Daphnia pulex: one gene and its partner. The protein of the gene in region 1 interacts with the protein of each later gene in a pairwise test. Links are inferred from orthologs where the notes say so. Each region holds a gene or a part of one and is shown in the gene's direction. Other genes may lie near its edges. The genes, in order: myotubularin-related protein 9-like and serine/threonine-protein kinase mos-like.

The links.
Region 2: the proteins of myotubularin-related protein 9-like (region 1) and serine/threonine-protein kinase mos-like interact in binary tests that used the Homo sapiens proteins (3 or more experiments, as listed by UniProt). The link is inferred for Daphnia pulex from reciprocal best matches to the Homo sapiens genes MTMR9 and MOS.

What each region holds. Positions count from the first base shown.
Region 1 is NC_060028.1:7,381,296-7,385,875, reverse strand, and holds myotubularin-related protein 9-like, read left to right. Parts: upstream 1-1,724; 5' UTR 1,725-1,954; intron 1,955-2,012; 5' UTR 2,013-2,026; coding exon 2,027-2,173; intron 2,174-2,238; coding exon 2,239-2,407; intron 2,408-2,486; coding exon 2,487-2,767; intron 2,768-2,829; coding exon 2,830-2,979; intron 2,980-3,040; coding exon 3,041-3,155; intron 3,156-3,221; coding exon 3,222-3,450; intron 3,451-3,525; coding exon 3,526-3,755; intron 3,756-3,828; coding exon 3,829-3,998; intron 3,999-4,067; coding exon 4,068-4,277; 3' UTR 4,278-4,352; downstream 4,353-4,580. Other genes in the region: protein kinase C-binding protein 1-like, read right to left, coding at 34-163, 232-420, 480-626, 719-1,245. UniProt on the Homo sapiens protein: Acts as an adapter for myotubularin-related phosphatases. Increases lipid phosphatase MTMR6 catalytic activity, specifically towards phosphatidylinositol 3,5-bisphosphate and MTMR6 binding affinity for phosphorylated phosphatidylinositols.
Region 2 is NC_060021.1:7,376,386-7,380,007, reverse strand, and holds serine/threonine-protein kinase mos-like, read left to right. Parts: upstream 1-1,341; 5' UTR 1,342-1,502; coding exon 1,503-1,860; intron 1,861-1,924; coding exon 1,925-2,138; intron 2,139-2,198; coding exon 2,199-2,358; intron 2,359-2,433; coding exon 2,434-2,598; intron 2,599-2,656; coding exon 2,657-2,812; 3' UTR 2,813-2,842; downstream 2,843-3,622. Other genes in the region: U6 snRNA-associated Sm-like protein LSm5, read right to left, coding at 2,843-2,881, 2,955-3,152, 3,212-3,244; peptidyl-prolyl cis-trans isomerase H-like, read left to right, coding at 3,267-3,299.

The sequences.
Region 1 (4,580 bases):
ATCACAGAAACGTTGGGACTTTTTTCTCATTACCTGGCCATCCATATGACACACCCAGCAAAAAGTGTCATGGCGCGTAAATGTCTTGCTTTGCAATTCCATGAAATGGCTACCAACTTTGGTCGATGGGGTACTTGCTGTTGATGGAGTGCTTGTTATTGATCTAAAGTTTGCAAAAGTGCTACAGTTAGTTACAAATGCTTCGTAACGCCAGCTTCATTTTTTAGTTACTTTTTGTTTCTTTTCTCTTGAATTGGAGAACTATGAGGAGAATGCACGGCATCTGTCCCTCCTGTATCCTCCCATTTGCGCTTTGTGGCTTGTGTTTCCACTTTAACCTGTTCAACTTCGCTAGTTGCACTTCGAACATACGAGTCCATAGAGCTTTTGACAGCAATTTGGTATTTATGCATGAAAGACCTGTAAGAGAAATGGATCTCCAATATATGGCTTTAAAAAACAAGTTCAGATTTCCTTACTTTTGCTTTGCGATTATGTCAGGATTGATCTGTGATCGCGTGGTACGTCCTGCGGAAAGTGACACGTCGTTTGGAGATGGGCTGATGGGTAATTTAGTCCTGCTGGATCTTCTTAGAGCTGCTGATGGAGTTCCTTGCAGTTTAATGCTAGATGCAAAATTTAAAAAGAATTTTTTGAAATTGTTGCCATGTGGAACCCTTGAGAAGGAATAATGTATAGACTTAATTTTTGTATTTACTTTTGGTTTTGGTCTCCTTTGTCAGTAAGACTCTGTAAATCATCTTCTAACTGTTCATTTTCAACTACACCTGAGAGACTGTCCACATTCTTGCCTTCCTGCTTCATTATTGAACCATGGCTAAGAATGAGTCCTGGAGGTGCTTCCTCATCTGATGTTTCTCCAGTAGTACCATCATCCTTTGTAGCTGTTTGAATCCCAGCACCATCTGAGTCTAAAAGTTCTGGCATTTCTTCATCCTCTTCATCCACATCTTCATCTACGTCTTCATCTTCATCCTCCTCAGAATCTTCAGCTATAAAAAGACTTTGTACTTCATCATCATCAATCTGGCTCTGTTCATCACCATTTAGTTGGGGAGTGCCATCCCTAGGTGAAAGAGTGTCGAAGTTTTCACATGCAGTGGCCACATTATCTGCAGGCTCACTGTTTTCACTGTTCAGTTTTCTGGACATTAAACCAACATCCTCCATGACTCTATCACTGGAAGGTTCATTGATGACATCAGCAGTCGCAGCGTTATCCATTCCGGGCAGGCAGCACAGTTTTTCCCTTGTCCCCTTGATATCTGCAATTAGTGATTCCAAATAAATATGTTATTGCGAAACGGAAAATGAACGTAGAATTTAGCAAGCATACCACTGAGGACTGACCTTCCTGTGCTTCGTAGAAACACCGCTAGAGCAGGCGGAATCCGGAGAGGATTTTTCAATCAAACAAGCTCCGCCCACAGGCTATCTATATTTCGGTCCAGTGATGATGCTACAAACAAGAAGAATGTTACAAATTAAAAAGCATCATCAATAATGGTGTCGTGAAAACAAACCCACTCTATAAAAAGGTGTCACGAATCTTGAACCACTTCAGAAGCATGCGATATATTTCAGCTCAGGGTTTCGCCAGAATTATTTTACACACACACACACACACACAGTCACACACACAAGACACACCGGCGGTGTATATAGCAAACAACGTTGTCAATTGGGGATATGAAAAATATTTTTTTTTTCTGCTTTTCACGACACCAATGTTTACGTTTTTACGCTCACTTGGTATGAAGTGAAACGATAATTCACTGTCAGGATGAAAATAATTTCCAAAATACTGTAAATTTTAAGCGAATGCTGTATTTTTAACCTCATTTAGTCTTTATCGATCAATTGCGCGCGCAACTCGTTTCTGAAATCGTCCAGCTGGAGATTGTGACAGGTGAAGAAATCCTTACAATACAAGGTTTGTGGAAAATTATTAGGTTTCATTAAACCGATTTATGGATTGTCTCTTTCTGAAGGCTGAGCTGTGAAAATGGAGTTTGCACATCTCATCAAGTCACCAAGGGTAGAAAAGGTTTTGGTCCACCGCCCACTTCACAAATCTGTTGAAGGGGTGCTATGTATAACTGGGCACCACCTCATTTTCTCTGCTGGAGGAGAAAATCCTGATGAATTTTGGGTATACCAATTTTATTAAGTTTTTTGTAAATTACCTTCACATTGTTTTTTTTTTCATTTTTACAGCTGATTCATAGAATCATAGATTTAGTGGAAAGAAAACCCAACACACCTCCAGCTGCAGGAGGCACTCTTACACTCAAGTGCAAAGATTTTTCTGTTATCAGTTTTGATTTCAATAATACAGAAGAACTGATGAATGTTTCAGCTTCATTGGAGTGCTTATCATCCATAGGTATTTATTACAGATCGGTGCTTATAAGCCTACATCTTCTAAAACCACCTGCTAATAGATCATAATTTTTTTACCACAGAGAATCAGTCTCTTTATTATCCTTTCTTCTATCAGCCAGTTTACACTGCAATAGAAGATGGTTGGACAGCATTTAGGCCAGAAACTGAATTTTCCAAACTAGTCATGCAACAACAGGAAGACTGGAGGATTTCTTATGTCAATAAGGATTATTCAATCTGCTCGTCTTATCCATCTGCTGTTGTAGTTCCCAAGTCGGTCGATGATGACGTCTTAATAGCTGCTGCATCGTTTCGAGTTGGAGGGAGATTTCCAGTTCTCTCATACAGGCATGAAGGAGGAGTAAGTTGCCATTTAATCATAAATATGCTGCAATATTTTTATTTCTTTTTCTTTTTATTCAGGCTGTGATGATGAGAAGTAGTCAGCCTCATTCGGGACCAAATGTTAAGCGTTGTCGTGAGGATGAAAAACTTCTTAACAGTGTGTTGAAACCAGGGATGCGGGGTTACATTATTGATACCCGCCACCAGAGCACAACACCGACCCCCAAAGTATAATATCATTCTTTCAATCTAAAAATCTTGTCTAAATATCTAAAATTTCGTTCCAAAGTCTAAAGGTTCAGGTGGTTTTGAGACCGAATCTCACTACCCTCAATGGCGTCGCATTCATAAACCCATTGAAAGACTGCAGTCTTTACTTGAATCGCTATCCAAACTAGTTGAAGGTAAAAAGCAATATTGTTTGGCCCCCTAAAAGTGACATTTTGACATATTTATTAACCCCTTTTCAGCCTGCCTTGACAATGGCAGTTCTATGGATAAATGGCTGTCCCGCTTAGAATCTTCCCAATGGCTTTCGTACGTAAAAGAAACTATGAATTGTGCCTGTTTAGTTTCTCAGTGCATTGATCAAGAAACTGCTGCTGTTCTACTTCATGGAGGAGAAGGTCTTGATTCTACATTGGCCGTTTCTGCCCTCGCCCAGGTCATTCTTAGCCCTGACTCTCGCACAGTTCACGGGTAAGGTTTAATCCCCTTTGCAAATATCGAAAGGCTTCTATAGTTCTCCTGTGGTTATTTTTCTTTTTCTTCAAGTTTTGAGGCTTTGATCGAGCGTGAATGGATTCAAGCAGGTTATCCCTTTGTTCAACGCCATCACCGCTCGGCTCTGAGTAACACAGTCTCACGGAGCAAAGAAAATGCGCCGACTTTTTTACTATTTATTGATTGCACTTGGCAAATCATGCAGCAATTCCCATGCAGTTTTGAGTTTAATGAAGGATTTCTCCTTCAGTTGGCTCGTCATTCCTATTGGTCTCAATTCGGTAAAAAAGTAATTTAGCCTGGCATAAAACAACACGAAAACTAATGAATTGGATCATTAATCGTTGGGAATAGGTACTTTTCTGGGAAATAACGAATTAGATCGCTATCAAATGCAACTGTCGTCCAAGACTGTTAGTTTATGGTCACATTTAAATCGACCAGAAGTGCTTCGATCTTTCCTTAACCCGCTCTACGAGCCCAACAATCGCGTTATCTGGCCTTCAGTTGCTCCTATGAGCGTGGTATGCATAAATTTTCGTCAATTTAAATTCTTGTTTCTAATTCTAATCTTCTCTGATTCAATTTAAAAGAACTTGTGGCCAGCAATGTACCTCGCTTACGTGGTGGAACCCAGCATCTACGACAATGCCTGGCGTGACATTGCAGCAATTTGTGAGCAGGACAAAGAGCTGCGCTCTAAAGCTCAGCGTCTCCGCCGCCAACTGATAGATTTGGAACGTGATGCCATCGCGAAGGGACTACTTGATAGTCCTAGCAGCATTGGAACAGTCTTTGATTGAGTTTTCATTATATTTTCTCTGCTTGTTTATTATTTTTTCTTCCGTTGAGCAAAACAAAAAGAATTTGAAACTTTAGATGTGACGTTTCAATCTTTTGATATTAAGTCAGCAGTGTAAAGGACTGTCGTGGTTGTAATCTAACCATCTTTCTTCTTCAATCATCATCCATTTCACGGATGCACGAATTCTACTCATTTTTTTCTTCGAAAAAGCCTAAAAGAAAAATACCGACGCGGTGGTTTTTTAAGTGGGGTGAGCAATTCGTGTCATCCCTTCCAGAGTTGCACGACATGTTGTATAAAG
Region 2 (3,622 bases), on another chromosome or scaffold:
TAATTTTATCTTTTGATGTCTTATATCTTTGTTCTAATCTGAGTGATGTGTTTCAATACTTGCTTTGCGTCTATTTGTGTTTTGTCGCTTTTCTCAACAACATATGTGACTGAATTTGTCAAACCCAATAAAATACACGAGTTTGATTAAATTAACAACAGTTAAAATGATTAAATTGTTCCATTGTCCTTTGACTTCTTCCATTGCGGGTGTATAACTAAGAAATCAAGTCACACATTTCTTCTCGACAAACGGGGATGGCGTAACTTTTTTTTTGCGTTAAAATTTTAAATTCAACATGCAAATAATCCATCAATGTGTGAACAAAATTGTCAAAATTATACTTGATCTAAATTTATAACTTTCACAGCATGAAATAAATTTGTTTGAAAGTAAAATTCCGATTTAAATGCCAAAATGCACTTGCAAGCCGAGCTGTACCCACTGAAAGCAATAAGAAGCGGCTGGTCATTGGATTTACATTCCACGATTCGATTCCTTCAAAATGGCTTCTGAGACTAAAACGAGAATTTCATTCGAGGGTTGGATAATCATCACAGCTGTTGTTTTAATTGTGGCCTCTGCAATCGGCATGATATACGTTGATCAAGTTAATCGAGCCTCGATAGAAGAATGCAACAAACACATCGACTGCTGTTCGTCGTCCCTGAATCCGCAGTCTGCTCAAATGAAAGCAGATGAATCCTTGATCCGTGCCGCACCTGATGGTAAATCTCCACCGGAACTAGAACTCCGCCCAGGAACTTCCACCGGAACTCTTCAAACGAGGTCCGTTCCACCTGAAAGAGGGGAAGCTACTATCGTTCCCCAAAACAGAAATTAAAAAATGATTCCTTTCTGTTCACCTGATCTCACAAATTTCACAAGTCTTTTTCACTCAATTAAAATTTCGTCTCTATGACTCAATCGAATTCCGATGTGACTTGTCTGAAGTAATACATGAATTCTTCTAATTTAATGTTTCTGATCCCTTTCATTAACTTTATAGATTTTTAAAATATAATATATTCATTTAAATCACACATCACATTTAAATTAAGCAAGGAACTTAATCACACTTCTATGACTTAATGCAAAAGTGCTCAAGAATAAAACAAACCAACAAGAGATGTACACGAAACATTTTGTTTGTTATTTCCAGGTTGGTTCTGTGGAGGCAAATAAAGGAAAAGCTCGTCAGGTTCATTTAGTCGAAAATTCACCCCAAAATGGCAAAATTTACCGATTTTACATTTGCAATTAAAAAAAAAAATCATGCTGATTAATTATTCCATTATTATGTTTTTAAAAATGATATGACAACGTCGGGGACATTAAGTAAACATACGGAGTGGGTTCGAAAAACACTTTTAAATTAGAATATTTTTGTCGAGGTGGGTGTATCTTGGAAAAGGTTTTAGAAAACGTTAAAAAGAGACAGTGTTTTAGCTCTCCCCCCTTTTTTATTCTACAGGGCAGTTTTGGGTTTTGGGTTTCAAGACATGTCACGATCTCCGTGTGTCGCAGCTGCTAGTTTGAAAAGCTTTTTACCTATTAAAGATTTTAAAAGTCCCAATCATTTGAAGTTGAGTCCAGTTCCAGCTGGTCACACTCAATATCACACCTTGTTATCACCTTTTCCACAGTGCAACCCCCAATCCACACCTTCATTATCCCCATCATCTAGCCATTTTAACTTCAATAGTCCAAATAATTTTTTTCAGAAACGAGATAGTATTTCACTTTCTGTTGATAGTCCCCATAGGCTGCTTTTTGCTTCAAAAATTAAGACCACTCTCAACTCATCTAATGTACTAGGACGGGGAAGGTTTGGTCAAGTTGTGTTGGCAAAGTATAAAGGTAATATGATCGCTTTATCAAAGTTGAAAGCCTTAAAAACCAGTACTGTAATTTAATTTTCCAGATGCACAAGTTGCTGTTAAAATAATAAAGAATGCTGCAAAAGAACAGGTCAATGAAATAAATGGGGAAAAGCTGTCACATCCCAACATAATCAGCACTCTTAAAATAGAGAAAGTTGATGATGATGTTCTAATTTTAATGGAACCTTGGGGTTCCCTTAACCTTCAACAACTTCTTAGCATGTCTTTGAAAATTCCATGGGGAGACATTCTCAGGTATTTAATCAGACTTTCCCCAAATTACAATTAGATTAATGGTATACTTTTAATTTACAGCTATTCGACACAATTAGCCATGGCTCTTGAATATTGTCATGCAAATGGAGTGCTGCACCTTGATGTGAAACCTGCTAATATTATGGTGAAAAGTGAAAAATGGATTAAATTGGGAGACTTTGGAAATTCTGCAAACATTCATCAGCTTGATTTATTCCAGGTTAGTTTTATCTTGTCATATCTTGATGTGATTGAAAATGGATGTAATTTGTGTTCTATTTAATTTCTGTTTCAGTACCAACAAAGAGTAGGTACAGTTTCTTACTGTTCCCCAGAAATACTTCAAGGGGATGTTCCCTCAACAAAATCTGATGTCTATTCCTATGGTATAACATTATGGCAATTTGAACACAATCAAATACCTTTTTCTGACTTGGACTGGCCCACTGTAGCATACCTGGTATTTCATTTTTAGACTTTTTATGTGATTCATTGTTAAGTTTCTTGTTGGTTATTAGGTTGTTGCCAAGGATGAAAGACCAGTCCTCAATAGTAATTGTAATGAAGAAGAAACAACATTTAGTAAGCTTTATCAAAGCTGTTGGCAACCAAAACCTGAAGACCGCCCAACTATGTCAGAAATTGTAAATATTCTCAAGGATTTGAGTGAATGATGTATTGTCTTTCGAAAATTAAAGAAAAATTCATGAATGAGCTTCTGGTCCCTCTCCACCAGGAACTAACTAAATATCAATCATGAAATGGCTATTAGTTCAAGTAATAAGACAATAAATTATGTTGCTATAGCATCCTTACCATAGTTATGTTGTTTCCATTCAACAGGATCTGGTCTAGCTTAGTCACACGTCTTCCTTCTGGAGTAGATTCAAATTCTGACACATCTTCCAGCACCATGTTGACAAAATCGTCGAACCCTAGCAAAGTTCCCACTATTTCCTTGTCATTCTTCATGATAATGTGGATCCTTGAACCAATGCATTTATCAACCAACTCCTGTATACCACACCAAATTTAGGTGAAGATTTAATTGCATAACTTTAAAAAAGTATTACCAGAGGTAAAAGCGTGGGTACTGGTGCAGCCATTTTATTTAATTAGAGGGAAAAAATGAAATGTCTTCCACGCCAACTTCGAAAATTTGTAAGTTAAGTTTGGTAAAATCTATTGCACTCCGGAGTCCGGAGCGCTCTAGTGTCAAAAGTGGCTATTGCACTCCGGAGTCCGGAGTCCTCTAGCGTCAAAAGTGGCTATTGCACTCCGGAATGGAAATATGTAGTACTTTCATTTGGCGACCGATGGCATTCTGTTTCTGTGTTTTGAAATTTGAATGGTTTAGATTTTTTTTCTTTGGAAATTCAAATAAAATGTATTTATAACAATCATATATATTTGAATATCACTAATAAATAAAAATAGTCAGTGTATAGAAAGAACTTTTATTTCGTTATCGTTAACTTAGCTAG